Linked DNA regions of Rattus norvegicus. The protein of the gene in region 2 purifies or fractionates together with the protein of the main gene of each other region. This does not show direct contact. Links are inferred from orthologs where the notes say so. Each region holds a gene or a part of one and is shown on either strand. Other genes may lie near its edges.

Region 1 (8,255 bases), on a different chromosome or scaffold from region 2:
ATACACACACTCACACATACACACACATATACACACATACACACACATACACACACATACACACCACGCACACATACACACTCACACACACATACACACTCACACACACATACACACACATACACACCATACACATACACACACATACACACTCACACACACATACACGCCATACACACACATACACACTCACACACATACACACTCACACACATACACACATACACACTCACACAAACATACACACCATACACACACACATACACACTCACACACACGTACACACACATACACACACCACACATACACACATACATACACACTCACACACATACATACACACACATACACACACACATACACACACACACACACATGCACACGCACACACACACTCCATACTACAGGTCGCCAATGCTCTACAAGTCTCTGCTCAATGATCACCTAGTCTTCAGTAGCCTTGGAGGAGCCTCAGATGTAACCTCCCACTGTAGGGCTTGGCCATCCGGGCTCCGTGGCAGTCTCACCAGAACTGTCTTCTCCTCTTTACTGAGTCAAATAAGCACATGCTCAACTCCCAAGTCTATTACGTTGAAGCTCTCCCACCTTAAAGATATCATTTAACTTAGCCAACCTTTGTCTCATCCTGGTAAATGCGATTCCTAGATGCCTGGTATGGTCCAGGAATATAATAAAAACTACTTACTGACTCTCCAACTTTCAGTAAGATTACACTCTCACATTAACTATGTCTTTTCTTTTAAAAGAACTTTATTACATTTTAGCATTCGTATGTGTGTGTGGTGTGTGTATGTGTGTATGCATGTGTACATATGTATGGAGGTCAGAGGACAACTTTCAGAAGTTGCTTTTTTCCCTTCCACTCTATGGGTCCTGAGGATAGACCAGGCTTGGTGGCCCATGGGTTTATGTACTAAGCCATGTCCCTGACGCTCCCAAGTAATTTAATAAAGCTAAGTGTATCCTGCACTTGACAAATATTTTTGGAGACCAGGTGAGAGTTGGGGAATCCTCAGGTTGAGGTGCAGCTTGCTTCCTCCTCTGACATGCTTTCTCTCTTGTCAACAGGGGTCACTGGCCTAGGCTGGCTGAGGTGCATGTTATGTCCCCAGTTTGCCAAGGCTTGCTATTCTCTGGAGAGAAAAGTCTATAATCTATGGCCATTTGCACAGTATTCCTCACTACTGTGACACACACACACACACACACTCTCTGACACCCATACACACAACACTCACTCACACACACATATACACACACTCATGCACACTCTCTGACACCCATACACACACATAAACACTCACACACTCATGCGCGCACACACACACACACACACACACACACACACACACACACACACACACATCTACAATGTGTGACCCAGACTTTAGATTTTGGAGTGAGAGTCCCCCATATCCAAACAAATTCTGTCATTTACTAGCTGTGTGATCTAGGGTCAGCTTTATTTAGGCCTTTAACATTCTAGCCTAATTTTCAAAGTGGGAAATTAGTGCCTATTTCATAGGCTGGTATGAGGACTCAAAGATGCAAGATGTACAAGTAATAATATATCACTATCAGGCAGACTGTATCATATGATGCACTTGTAAAATAAAAAATGAAATAAACTGTCAACAGGATCCTCTGCTGTCCTAACTTGAAAAGGATAGCCTTGCTGGGTCTTTTGCTCATTTATTCTTGGAGTTTGGGAGGAAGAAGCCAAATAATCACACCCACTTCATTCTTAGCATTGTTCTCAACCCTGATAGAACAGACAATGAATATTTTGCAAAGGGACCACAGGTAAATACAAAATGCTTCAAAGTGGCACATGATAAATGTTGCTTAGTTCAATAGTTGATTTAAAGAAAAATATTTCCCAACAGTGAGCAGATGCAATGGGAGCCCTCTTATAATTGTAGTTAGGTCTGCTCCCACGACAACCTCAGGAAAGCAGGAAGCAGCTCAGAGTGGTCTGCTTGGGAGGCAGAGGCAAGTGGGGGTGGAGATACAAGACTATTCTAATCCCTCAAGACATCTGGCCTAGCATATCCTGAAATATTATCCCAGCTCCTTCGAATAATAAGAAAGACCCTCTTCTTATTCCTCTCATGCCAGGTTGAGACACTCACCTCCTATCCTCAGTTCTTCCAGATACATCATTTTCAGGGTCTTTCAACCAGGTCTTCCTACTCTAAACTACAGCCAGACAATCATCACCACACACAAGAGTCTCATCCCAGGGCAAGAACAGATTTAGCAATAGTCAGATCAATTCTCCACTGTCCACACTCACACACACACACACACTCACACACACACACACACACACTCACACACACACACACTCACACACACATGCACACACACACACACTTTTAAGAGCTCATCAAATGTCGAGTTCCAGGGCAGAAAATGACAAATAGCCCAGAAGGAGACAGAAGGTGCTTGCCTCCTGGGGCTTGGAGGGCAGGGCTTAGGAGGGAAGCCAGACTAATGTACACTAGAGAGAATATCTCCCCTCACCCAGCTCTGGGGCCTCAGCTGCAAGCAGAGTGCAAGCCTCAGGCAAGTGCATCAGAGGGACCTTCAGGCCTTGGAGGGCCCAGAGAGGGGTGGGGTAGGGTGTGTGTGTGTGTGTATGTGTGTGTGTGTGTGTGTGTGTGTGTGTGTGTTTGCTCCATAGCCTATAAGTCCGCTGTCCAGTTAATGCAGGCAAGCCTCAGCCCCTTGGATAGGTGTGTGTGTGTGTGTGTGTGTGTGTGTGTGTGTCCCCTCTCAGGCCAGCTGCTACAGAACCCTCAGGCTCCAACATTCCAACCTCTCTTAAAGGGGCAGTCCCATCTTCCAAATTGCCCATCAAAAGCCCTGCAGCTGGGTAGGAAGGGGAAGACAAGAGAACACCAACAGGCCCTTCCAGGCTTTCCCATCCAGGCTCTGAAGCTCTATGTAGCATCTCCCCTGGGAACACCATCAGGAAAGAAAAGGCCCCAGCACCTGATTAGTGAAAACTCCTTCTCCGGGCCAGGCAACACCCCATCAGCCCAGGAGAGAGGAGAATCTACTCGACAAACATCAGGTCCAGCATCCAGCCTGGCAGAACAGCCCCCAATTCCTCCTTCTCCAGTTCCAAGTCCCACCAGCTACAGCCCTAGATAGAGCACACTCCAAATAAGGATCTGAGTTGCAGAGCTCAGAGGACTGGGAAGGCAGACCGAGTGTCAGTTTAACTCCAACTCTATGCTTAAAAGGTGGCACCTGGAAGGACTGAGAACTCTGGTTTTGGAGTGGAAAGGATGTATGTCTACGGCGGGCCGCTGGACCGTGGGGAGGTGAAGGGGCTTAAATGATAGGAACCAATTGCTTAGGGAGGGACGTCCCGCTGGGCTGGGGGGTGGGGTGGGGGAGGCAAGGCCTCCAAGAGATGACTGGGAGTCCCTCAAAGTCAAGAGGGTCCCAAGTCACCGAGTCGCTCCTTGCTGGAAGCGGGGTTAGAAACCAGTGCAGCGAGGGGAGTCGGAACTGGCCGCGTTGGCCCCTAGCAGCGGAGCGACCCGAGCTCCCGGGAGGCGGGGCGGGGGCCATCCTCACCCAAAATCGTCGTCCATAGACTTGAAGAAGAACTTATAGCTGGGCCGCTGCAAAACGCCCTTAAAGTCCGCCAAGGTGACGCGCTCGGCGGGCAGGGGCAGCTTCACTAGGTACGGCGTCTCCTGGCCGTCCAAGTGGTAGATGATCTTAGTCTCGCCCATGGCTCCGGCCTCGGCCCCGCGGCGTGCGGCCTGCTTGGGCAGCGGGGCCGGGCCTCTCCGACAGAGCTCGGCGCTCGGCGAGGCCCGCTGCTTAGCCCCGCTCAGCCGCCGGCCGGGGCGCCAGCTCCCTTGTTCTCCGGCCGCTCCCGGGTCCCAGCGCCGCCCGCCACCGCTTCCGCTCCCCACTCACAGCGCTCGGCTGGCGACCGCGACTCTTCCGGTGGCCTCGGCCCTCCCGGCTCTGGGCCGAGCCCAGCGCGGCTCCGCCCCGCCGCCGAGCGGCGCTGGCTGCTTGCCGCAGACTGCCCGCCCACCCGCGGGGCGGCGCTCGCTTCCTTGTGCTCCTGGATCAGGCTGCTGGACCTGGAAGTCTCACCCCGGTGGGCCCAGGGGAACGGTGGGCCGGCTCCCTGGCTGGAGGGGAGGGATGGAAGATAAGTGTCACCTACTGCGGAAGAAAATAGATTTGAAGACCTAACTGGTTCCCTGGAGGGGGGTCGCTTCGACTCGGATCTCTGGATTTTGCTGACAGCACAGTTGCTGTGACCGGACTGTACTGAGTTCCTTGAGGGCTGAGCAAGTTTAAATTTTTATCCCTGTAATCTCAGCGTCTCTATGAGCAAGTAGTTTGAGTAATGGATTGGCGGGTGTGGTGGTGCTTGCCTTTAATCCCGGCACTCGGGAACGAGAGGCGGGTGGCTTTTTGTGAGTTCAAGCCAAGCCTGGCCTACAGAGAGCTCAAGACCCCAGCAGGACTAGGTAGAAAAGTCCTGTCTCTCTCTCTAAAAAAAGAAAAAAGAAAGAAAAAGAAAAGAAAAAATGCGAGCTAAGAAAAAGAGCAAGCAGTCAGGTGTGGTAGCAAATGACTTTAGTCTGAACACTGGGGAGGCAGGCAGATCTTTGAGTTGGAGGCCAGCCAGTCTACAGAGCGAGTTCCAGGACTGCCAGGGCTACACAGACAAACTCTGTCTCAACTCCCACCCTGATCCCCAAGTAAAAAAAAAAAAACAAAAACAAAAAACAGAAAGCGTAGACATACATGATCGATGATTGGGACAGTAGATGTTAAAAACTAGGTATAGTCAGTCAGTTGGTGGTTCAGCTTCTCAGCTGTAACAATGTATGTCAGGAGTGGCTTCAAAACTCCTGGCAATTCTCCTGCCTCAGGCTTCTGAGTTCTGGGATTACATCCCTGCATTTCAGGACCCATTTTAATCACCTCTTCTGCTCAGAAACCTTCACATTACCCAATATGCCTTTCATATACCCTCAACATGATACACGAGGTCCTTTATAATCTGACACCTACTTCTCTAGACTTCTTGTTACTTCAAAACCAAATTTTTATTATAGGCAGAAAGCAATCAGTAGTAGTTATATCTTTTCAGTTTATATCCTTCATTTATCTTTTTCTCCAAGTAATGTCTGTGCATAACTAAAATGCATTAAGACTTTTCAAGGTTTATTTTTACCCGTGCAGATTTTGGGTATCTGAGGTGATCGGAGGAGGATGTCAGTCCCTTGGAATTAGAGTCACAGGAAGCTGTGATCCACCTGCCGAGATGGTGGAAACTGAACTCAGGGCCTCTGTAAGAACATCAAGCCCTCTTAAATGTTGAGCTGTTTCTACAACCTTAATATTAAAAAGTAAAGAGTCCAGGATGACCTTGAACTTTCTACTCTCCTGCCTCTGTACTCCTGGAGCAGCTGGGGTTAAAGTCATGTGATGCCTGCCTTATTTCTTGATTTACACATTCTAGACATTGCTATTGACTTTCCACTTTTACTTTCTTAAAATATTGAAACCGGACTGGAGAGATGGCTCAGTGGTTAAGAGCACTGTCTGCTCTTCCAGAGGTCCTGAGTTCAAATCCCAGCAACCACATGGTGGCTCACAACCATCTGTAATGAGATCAGATGCCCTCTTCTGGTGTGTCTGAAGACAGCTGTAGTGTGCTCACATACATTAAATGAATAGATATATAAAATATATTAAAATATTGAAACCATGCTTGTTAAATAGAGTACTTAATATCGACAGCATTTTAACTATCAGTCAATGTATACTGCTAAAGTTGTTATATTACTTGCTTCTTTTACTGTTCTTTGGTTGTTTTTATTTTTTAAAAATGTAAGCACCAATGATTCTTTGCAAACATTCCAGTGGTTTTTCAGGACACATTTTGTTCATCCAGTCCAACCTATGAGGTAGTCCAGCTTTGCCTGTTCCTGGAACTTCCCTTCGTTTGCTCCGGTGAACACTGCTTGCTGTCTCTATCAATCCAGCTGTCACCCAGGACTTCTCTGCATCCCCAGAATTTTCTTTACTTCTCCACCAAGCTGGACCTGTTTTCTTGAATACTTTATTCTTAGTTTAGTAAGGCGTATTGCATCCTTTGACAGGTCTCTTTGAAAGCAAGAATGAAAAAGATGGTTTTGGTTCTGGTTTTCTGAGACAGAGTCTGTGGCTGACAATACAAGACGCTCAGGCTGGTCTTAAACTGGAAGTCCTGCCACCACACCTAGGAAGGAATTTGTTTGTTTGTTTGTTTGTTTGTTTGTTTATTGGATCTGTGGATGCGGGCATGATTTCTGCTGCTAAGGCCCAGGTTGTGTTTGAGTTGTATGTCTAGAATATGACTGAGGTTGAGGTTGGGGCAGTGGCCTGACAGCCTGAGCTTGATCCTCAGGATCCACATGGTGGAAGGAGACCTCCTGCAAGACCTCTATAGGCATGCTGGCGCTTGTGTATTCCCTAACACTTACACACACACACACACACACACACACACACACACACACACACACACACACATTGGAAAAAATAAAATTGAAAATAATTTTCCTTCAGGAATTTGAAGATATTTGTTGTTGTTTATTTTTTTAAACAAAAATCACAATTGTTCAATTTTACCAGTGAAGACTTGGGAGCCAGATACTAAGGCAAAAGCCTACTAGCTCAGAGAGGCAGAGAAAGCGCACAGCTGACCTTCTTCCTCGGCTGACATCCTAGAAGTAATGCCCCTCTCATGAAGTCTCAAGCTTTCAAACTGCATGTCCCTCACCTTCTACTTTCTATGTGTCTCTCTATCCATAATAATCCTATGTTCACTTCCTCTGGATTGACTTTGTATCCTTTTCACCATTATTAATTTCATTTTTTGACAATTTCACTTTATTATAAGATTTCCTATATTACAACCTTTCTAGCTATTCACTTATCCAATATTTCAGATTTTACCTATCCAATACATTGTTATTTATGCATGTTCGGAGAGAATAAAACAAGTATACTTCAGAAACTCGTTATATTCCAACTCTCTCCCTTTATGACAGTTGTCCTACTAGGACAGTGGTCCTATAATTTTTCTGATGTCAAAGGCCATTGTTCCACCCACACAGGTTTGTCAATTAGTCATTTTAAAGGTAAGGCGGTTGGTACCTTTGAAAGACCAACAGCTATTATGTCCTGCTTATGGACAACCTAAATGGTCTGTGACTGTTCTTGAAAATGTCTTTTAATATATTTTTAGAAGCATTATTAATTTTATGGTTTGTTTCTGAGATTGGAGGAATGTTAATCTGTTTTCCATTGCTGCAACAAGTCATATCCCCTATAAATTTATGGCTATTTTAGCCACATATGACTTTAATTTTCCTATCTGTCTACTGGTCCTATACACTTGACCCATCTTGAACTTTGTTTTACCGGAGATAAATACTTAGATGAATACTTAGCTCCTGAAGAGGCCAATGTGGATCCCAAGATTTTGGTGAAGTGACTGTTCCATCTGTCCCTCTAGTCAACTAAACCTTGGTCTCTGGTCATTTATAGCAGTTTGCTAAAATACTTATTTTCTGGTCTGGTGCCCTGAATTTCTTGTTTTAGCTACAGAAGCTATTCTGTCCTTGATTTTATCCAGAGCCGTGTTCTTTCTAACAACAGACATTAAATCTTTGGATTGCTCTGTGAATGAGTTTCTCCAAAGCTGACAGGGAATGACTCAATTAACTTTGATATTGGGGCCTATGGGGGGTGGGTTCTTATTGGCAAAGGATTACCTTGCCTGTCCCTTGCTGATCTGCACTCATTATTCCGATGCCAGCCATTGCCACATCTTTTGCATACTCCGGAAGCTGGAGCCTCCTTTTTGTACTTCTCTTGAAAAAATATTGTTTCTAGGTATGCTTTGTCTACAATCCCTTTTCAGATGTCCTTGTTGACCACAATTAAAACATCTGACATTTTGATTTTTCTTAAAACTTAGAAATGACTTCTTCTAACAGAGGAGCATCATAAACATGAGATCCAATATCAGCTGTATTTGTAGTCCCCTCATCTATTGGTGCTATCTTGCCTTTAAAGGCCTAATTAGCCTTTTGCATTAGGAAATAGCATTTTCAAAAGCCAAAGATTCAATTAATATTTGTCTGACTTCTGAATCTGATACTATTTTATTTACAGCTGAAGTCAAATTTTGC
Region 2 (8,155 bases):
CTTGTTCATGGGCCGGGGACTCGTTTAGGATGTGGGTGAGTTGGTGTTGAGGAGCTGCTGGTGGTAGACTATGTTTGTGTCCTCCGAACTGGGTGTGTGTGTCCTTCCTTCACATCATCCTAATCCCTATGAAAAAGTAAAGTAGGGTCAAGTAAGAACAATCCAAGGAGGGCACTCTATGGTGTGGTTTGACTGGCCAAATACCCACTTGTTCTGGTGTCCATTGCCTTACTTATGCTCCCCCAAAACAAAATACCCCCCTCCCAACCGAAACCCAAAGTGCACATTTTTAGTTGGGCATAAAGAAAGTAGAAAGAAAAAAAAAAAACCTAAGGATTTTTCTCAGCTCATCTTCAAGATAAACGTGTGCATTTTTCCCTTTTACTCTGACAAGTCCATTTACTCACAGCCAGTTTGGAGAACATGGGAGTCTGACTTTACCTGAGAGAGGCAGTACTGGCTGATTTCAGTTTTAGAGCTTCACTTCAGGATCAAGAAAGTATATGAAGCACAGGGATTCTGTTTGATTTTTCAGCAGTATTGACTTGTGCTACATCTTTTGGAGAAACAAAGTGGGTTTTATTGTCCGTTAAGACTTTATTTGAAGGGGTTGGGTATTTAGCTTAGTGGTAGAGCTCTTGCCTAGCAAGCGCAAGGCTCTGGGCTCGGTCCTCAGCTCCCCCCCCCCCCAAAAAAAAGGACTTTATTTGATGGGTGACTGGATTAGATATGAAATGAGAACCCTGACCTTTCAAGAATTTAATCAATGGCTCATTAGTAAAATGCTAGTCATATTATTTTCACATTCAACCTAAATCATAAGCTTATACTCTGTGTGTGTGTGTGTGTGTGTGTGTGTGTGTGTGTCAGACTTGTATATTACCTTTATGGAGTTACTTTATAAGTGTTGGTTGCAGGTTTGAGGCTGGATTTGGTACTATGGGTTTTAGACTTATTGAATTATCATAGCTGCTTTTTGTGTGGTATTTCTGTGTACCTTACCTGTTAGGTGTCCTCTGTGGGAGCCCAGGGATTATTGGAAATTGGGCTGTTTTAATGTTAGTAATTTGTGGGAATGTTGATGTTCAGGGACAGGTGCAGGAGTGCAGGCCCCTCTTTCCTATGATGATATCTTAGATAAGAGCAAGGAGACATGATGGGCTGCTGTGGTGTTTCAGATGTCCAAGATGCTTACCACATGTAGACAGAACTCCCAGAAAGTGACTAAGTTAAGGAGAGGTATAGGAGGTCTGTGAGCAGCAGGAGACCACAGTCATCGGCTGTGACCTTAAGAAACAGGCTGATCCTGCTGAGGCTGAGATTATAGCTTACCTAAGAAGTCATTAGTTGCAGAAATATCATAATTGTGACCCATCTTTTATTTGTACATGCCTCTTCCTTCTAGCCATTAGTAATCTAGTCATCAGCATCGTTAGCAGGTAAAGTGTGTATTGTGTGAGAATGAACAAAAGATGGATTTCATGGAAGTCAGGGCTCAGCACTGTAGAATGGTGACCAAGGACAGCATCTCCCTTTTTGGTTGTTGATGTGTATCATGTTTTTTGTTTTTGTTGTCTCTTGTACCCCAGACTGCCCTCCAACTCTGATGTAGCCAAGAATAACCTTGAATTCCTCATCCTTCTGCCTCTACCTCCACACACTCATTTTTTGCAGTATTGGGGATCTGGGGATGAAGCCCAGGCCTCAAGCTTGCTAGGCAACACTCTGCCATCTGAGCTACATCCCCAGCCCATGACCTTGAACTCTTTGATTTGTTTTATTTTTGAGACAAGGTTTCTCTCTATAGTCCTGGCTGTTCTGGAACTCTGGCTGCTCTGTAGACCAGGTGGGCCTTGAACTCAGAGATTCACGTCTCTTAACCTCCCAAGTTCAGGGACCACCCACCATCTGGCTGACCCTGAACTCTCGATCGAGCCTTGAATTCTCCCTCATTTTTTCAAGTGCTGAGATGATAGATTTGTGTCAATACACTGGGTTTATTTATTTATTGAGACGGGTCCTCATTTTATAACCCAGGCTTGCCTTGACTCAGGATGATCGTCTTCTTGCCTCAGTCTCCTGAGTGCTGAGAGTACAAGCATGAACCATGATGCCTGTCTTTTGTTTTTAGGATTCATTTTGTTCCGGTTACCTGACCCTGACATATGCCTCTCTAGCTCACTTTAGCTGGGACCAATTGGGGCTTTGTTGCTGTCTCCCCTTTGGATATGTTGAGATATATCAGATGTAGCAGAAAGGACCAGAGATCATAGCAGGGTCCAATCCAAATTTGAACAAATTTGCTCCCTTTTGCACACCCCACACGGCAACAAAGGTATAGGTGGTACAGTTTTCATTTGGCGGAGCTAAATCACATTTCTTGTATGCTTCTTTATTGAAAAAGCATACTTGTATTTGTAACTGATTTTTTTTTTCTGTACCTTTTCTGTCTTTCCAAAGTCACCATATGCTATCAGAAGGGAATCTTCTTGTAAGAGAGAAATTAGCAGCCAAGTACAGCTTTCTGAATCTCTAAAGTTGTCTGTGTAGACAATGCATAGATGCCTCTGAGTGTGGACTGTGTTCTTCCATCACTGGTCCAAGGTGTGCAAGGTAGCCAGCCTATGATCACTTGATCTCTTACTTGTTGAGAGCTGGAAGGACATCTTGCTGTGTGGTTGCTCATAAGGCATGCCAAGTATGAAAAATAATAGAATAGACAGAAAATAGAGACTCTGTTAAACTTGCCCTATGCCTGTCTACCTGAGGATCTGTAGTGTGCCTCTTCTTTGTTTCTGAGTGTCACTAGGGCAAGTGTGGTGATTGTCTTCATGGATGAGGGACCAACTGACTGATGTGATGCTGGTGACTGGGGACAGAGGCACCTTTTTCTAGCTTTCTTGTCCTCTTGACATTCATTTCTTTAGCCAGGATGGGTGATCTTCAGGCCTTACCACTGAAGGCATCCTTTGAAGGAGAGATGTCCCCCATGATCCAGACTTTCACTTAGTGTGAGAGGCAGTCTTGTAAAAGTTCCAGAAATTGCCTTAATGATAGAGCAAAAATTGTGGCCAAAATATGTCTCTGCTAGAAGTCTGCACTGAGTCTCTGCTCCAAGTGGGAGTGGGAGGGCATCCCTGCACATCTCAAGAGAACCTCTGGTGTTTCCATGGACCACCTTTCCTAATCCTTGTCCTCTTAATGGTTTTAACAGGAGAGATTGATTCCCTTGGGAGCTGTAAGTACTGAGGTATTAGGGTGCAGCGCTCATTGTTCACTGATGCAGAGTCCCAAAATGAATGTCCAGGAGCAGGGTTTCCCCTTGGACCTCGGAGCAAGTTTCACCGAAGATGCCCCCCGGCCCCCAGTGCCTGGAGAAGAGGGAGAACTGGTATCCACTGATTCGAGGCCTGTCAACCACAGTTTCTGCTCTGGGAAAGGTACCAGCATTAAAAGTGAGACCTCAACAGCCACCCCAAGACGTTCAGATCTGGATCTGGGATATGAGCCTGAGGGCAGTGCCTCCCCCACCCCACCATACTTGAGGTGGGCTGAGTCACTGCATTCCTTACTGGATGACCAAGATGGGATCAGCCTGTTCAGGACTTTCCTGAAGCAGGAGGGCTGTGCTGACCTGCTGGACTTCTGGTTTGCCTGCAGTGGCTTCAGAAAGCTTGAGCCTTGTGACTCAAATGAGGAAAAGAGGCTGAAGCTGGCAAGAGCCATCTACCGAAAGTACATCCTGGATAGCAATGGCATTGTGTCCAGACAAACCAAGCCAGCCACTAAGAGCTTCATAAAGGACTGCGTCATGAAGCAGCAGATCGATCCTGCCATGTTTGACCAGGCACAGACAGAAATCCAGTCCACCATGGAGGAGAACACCTACCCTTCCTTCCTTAAGTCTGACATTTATTTGGAGTACACAAGGACAGGCTCAGAAAGTCCAAAGGTCTGCAGTGACCAGAGCTCAGGGTCCGGGACAGGGAAGGGCATGTCTGGATACTTGCCCACTTTGAATGAAGATGAAGAATGGAAATGTGACCAAGATGCAGATGAGGATGATGGCCGAGACTCTGTCCCCCCCAGCAGGCTCACCCAGAAGCTGCTATTGGAGACTGCTGCCCCGAGGGCCCCCTCAAGTAGACGGTACAACGAAGGCAGAGAGCTCAGGTGAGTTCGGCACAGGGTGTCCATTTTCTCTACACAGCTCAGAGACCTGGCAAAGGAGCGAGGGAAAGGTGTTGGTAACAGGTGGCCTTGTTTTTAACCCCAGCTGAGATCTCTGCTGCTGCTGCTGCTGCTGCTGCTGCTGCTGCTGCTGAATTATAGTTTTATTTCCTACTTAGATACTTCATACTTGTTATTAGATACCTTCTTATATTTTGTGGCATTGAGAACGCAACAAACAAGACTTGCCAGGTGTAATCCCACCTACTTGGGAAGCTGAGGTAGGAGAATCGAAAAATTGTGTGTCATTCTGGGCAACTTGTAGAGATTCAAAATGAAAAAGAGTAAAGGCTTAGGAGAGTTCTTGCATAGCATGGAGGAAACTCTTTGAGTTCCCTCTTTAGTAACACGTGTACTACTAAATATAGGGCTTTGTGAATTATAAGCATATGGCTTGTGAATTATTAGAAGCGTGAGAATTCTTAGAAGCTATAATGGTTTGGTTTGTTTTTTTTTTTAAAGATTTATTTATTCATTATATATAAGTACACTGTAGTTATCTTCAAACATACCAGAAAAGGGCATCAGATCCCATTACAGATGGTTGTGAGTCACCATGTGGTTGCTGGGATTTGAACTCAGAACCTCTGGAAGAGCAATCAGTGCTCTTTTTTTTTTTTTTTTTTTGGGTTCTTTTTTTTTTTTTTTCGGAGCTGGGGACCGAACCCAGGGCCTTGCGCTTCCTAGGCAAGCGCTCTACCACTGAGCTAAATCCCCAACCCCGCAATCAGTGCTCTTAACCACTGAGCTATCTCTCTAACCCAGAAGTCATAATGTTTAAACTTTACCATTTAGCACAAAATTCATGTCTTCTTGCATAGAAGGATCTTAACCCTTAATAATGAGAGGGAAATACATTCAAATACATAGACAATTATAATTACTTTATTTTTATTTTAGATTCATTTAGTTTTTTTATGGGGATGAGTGTTTTGTATGTATGTATGTGCATATGTATGTGCACCATGTATGTGCCTGCTGCCCAGAAGGGGGTGCCAGATCCCCTGAGACTGGAGTTAACAGATGGTTGTGAGCCACCACATAGGTGCTGGTAATCAACTCATGCCCTCTATAAGAACAACAAATACTTTTAACTTTTCTTTTTCTTTCTTTTTTTTTTTTTTTTCAGAGCTGGGGACCGAACTCAGGGCCTTGCGCTTGCTAGGCAAGTGCTCTACCACTGAGCTAAATCCCCAACCCCCATACTTTTAACTTTTAACCCATCATTCCACTCCCTTCCACATCTTGCTAATTTTTTAGTCAGTACTTTGGATTCTTTCTGGAGGATGAGACAGTAGTGGGGCAGTTTAGTCTGTGTAGACAGTTGTTGGAGGGTTCAGAAACTCCTGATGGCTGTGCTTGGATTTCTAGAATTGGACCTTTTCCCTCCATGGCGTGATCTGCTGAAGGGAGTTCTGATTGTGTGTTCTGATGTATGCAACTTGAGCAGCATGATGGTGCTCTCCAGAAGAGAGCATAGCTTTGAAACTTGTTTCTTCACCTTTCTCTATAAAAAAAAAGGTATTTTTACACTTATTTGTGGTGCGTGTGTGTGGTGTGTGTGTGTGTCCATCCACCTTATATGTGGATGGGGGAGGCACTGACTTCAGGCTCAGGTGGCTAATATGTGGTAAGAGAAACTCCTTATAGGGGGCATTTTTAATCCTGTGAGTTCTGTGGATTGAATGTGGTCATTAGGCTTGGTGACAGACCCCTTTCCCTGCTGAACTGTCTTATCAGACCAAGCGTTGCTGTTTTTTAAATTCAGAATCATTGTGGTTACAGGAGGCTGGATTGGCTGGATTGGTACTTACTGCACTTATGAGCAGAGTTTGCGTTTTTTTGCTTATTTCCCTAGAACTGATGATTAGATACCGAATTTACTATTGTTCCCAACCTGAAAACCATTTCCAGATGTTGAGGTAATTGTTGTTTAGAACCAGGACTGAGCTGGGTGTGGTGGCTCAGGGATTAAGTCAAGTGGGTTCTCAAGAAAGGAGGTTCATTGAATTCTGAAGAAAAGCAGTAGTCAGATGTGTTGGCACACACTTTTAATCCTAACTCTCAGGGAAGCAGAGGCAGGGGGATCTCTGAGTTTACTGAGCTAGTTGCAGGACAGCCAGGGCTACACAAGAAGTCCTGGGGTGTTGGGGGCAGTTTGTACATGGACACAGACCATGGCTGTTCTTTAAGTTTACTATGAACACAAAGAAATTAAAATTGGTCACTTTTACAAAGCCACAGAATTAACACTTCTTTAGTTCAAGAGACACAGTTCAATATGTACTGTTTTTATTCATTGTCATTAGCCAAGTGATATTTACTTAGCAAGATTTTAAAGGACAATTTGTTTTGTTTTGGAGACAAGTTCTTATTCATCCCAGGTAGGCCTCAAAAATTCCCTATGTAACTGAGAATGACTTGAGCTTCTCCTGCCTCAACCTCTAGAATCCTGGGCACAGGCATGTGCCAACAGTTTACGCAGTGCTGAAGATTAAACTGGAAGCAGTGGATGTTGACAGACATGTGACCAATTGAACTACATTCTCAGTATGTTCAGTTTTTGAAACAAAGTCTTTTAGAGCCCTTTAATGTGCTGTATAGCTGAGGATGACCTTGAATTGCTTCTGTGCTGAGGTTACAGGCAGGTTCCATCACACCTCATTTCCAACATGTCTTTTGTTGGTATTTTTTCATGTTTTTGTTTTCAATGTTAGTGATTTTATTTAAGACCTCATGCATTAGAGGCAAGTGCTTACCAGTAATTTACACCCGCCCACCAACTTTCATATTTGAATACATTCTGCGTTTCATGCAGTGGGCTGTAATTAGGAAGCACTAGATTGGGAATAAGAAAATCCAGTCTAGGGGGTTGGGGATTTAGCTCAGCGGTAGAGCGCTTGCCTAGCAAGTGCAAGGCCCTGGGTTCGGTCCCCAACTCCAAAAAAAAAAAGAAAGAAAAAAAGAAAAAAAAAGAAAATCCAGTCTACTGGGATTAATTTTTGACTTAGTTGGCTAGTGTTTCATGTGCTTTGATCAGAAATTCAACACTTTTCTTTTTCTTCTTCCTCCTCTTCCTCCTCTTCCTCCTCCTCTTCCTCCTCTTCCTCTTCCTTTTTTGTTTTTGAGACAGGGTCTCACTATTTAGCTCTGGCAAATTTAGTACTCTTTGTAGACCAGGCAGGTCTCAAACCCTCAGAGATTCCTCTTCTTCTTTTGCCTCATGATTACCAGGACTAAAGTTCGTGTGCCACATCTGACTAGCACTTTTCTTTATAGTTTAATGAACCTGCTTTTTTTTTGACAACCCACTTGGGGTCCCTTGTGGAGGTGGCTACCTCTGTGAACATATGCTCTTAACTACCCTTAATTACAAGACTTTCCCACACCAGTGAAGGAAGGCTCTTTACTGGCTCATAGTAGGGAACAATTTTGCTGCTATGTCCTGCCAGTCCTTGAATGCTTAGAGCATTCTGAACTTGTGGGTCGTGACCCCTTTGGGGGTTGTCAAGTGACCTCTTCATAGGGGTCACCTAAGACCATTGAAAAATACAGCTATTTGCATTATGATTCATAAGAGTAGCAAGATTACAGTTATGAAGGAGCAGCAAATATAATTTTACGGTTGGAGCCAATACAGCATGAGGTTGCAGGTTAGGATGATTGAGATCCACAGACTTAGAGCCTGATGATGTGCTGTTACACTTAAGCCAAGTAGGGCCATCCAGTAAGGAAAGTGGGGAACTTTACCCAGACAGCATGACTGTTCCCCAGTAGTGGTACAGGTAATGGGGGAGGGTCCTCTAAAAGAAGATTGGGGCTGATAGGAATTGGGAAAAGATAAGTTGATACTGAATAGGTGACTAGCAAGTGTTCACTAGGAAGGAGGCCCTGGAACTAAGTCTTCCTGGGTGTTAGCTTTACA

What was found. The genes of interacting proteins can lie anywhere in the genome.
Region 1: the proteins of Axin1 (region 2) and Dvl3 purify together in Homo sapiens (affinity purification with western blotting; 3 studies listed by BioGRID and IntAct, with this or other methods). This does not show direct contact. The link is inferred for Rattus norvegicus from reciprocal best matches to the Homo sapiens genes AXIN1 and DVL3.

Annotation. Positions count from the first base shown.
Region 1 is NC_086029.1:93,883,000-93,891,254, forward strand, and holds the start of Dvl3 (segment polarity protein dishevelled homolog DVL-3), read right to left. Parts: upstream 3,905-8,255; 5' UTR 3,774-3,904; coding exon 3,613-3,773; intron 1-3,612. UniProt on the Homo sapiens protein: Involved in the signal transduction pathway mediated by multiple Wnt genes.
Region 2 is NC_086028.1:15,668,686-15,676,840, forward strand, and holds part of Axin1 (axin-1), read left to right. Parts: intron 1-3,214; 5' UTR 3,215-3,280; coding exon 3,281-4,173; intron 4,174-8,155. UniProt on the Homo sapiens protein: Component of the beta-catenin destruction complex required for regulating CTNNB1 levels through phosphorylation and ubiquitination, and modulating Wnt-signaling.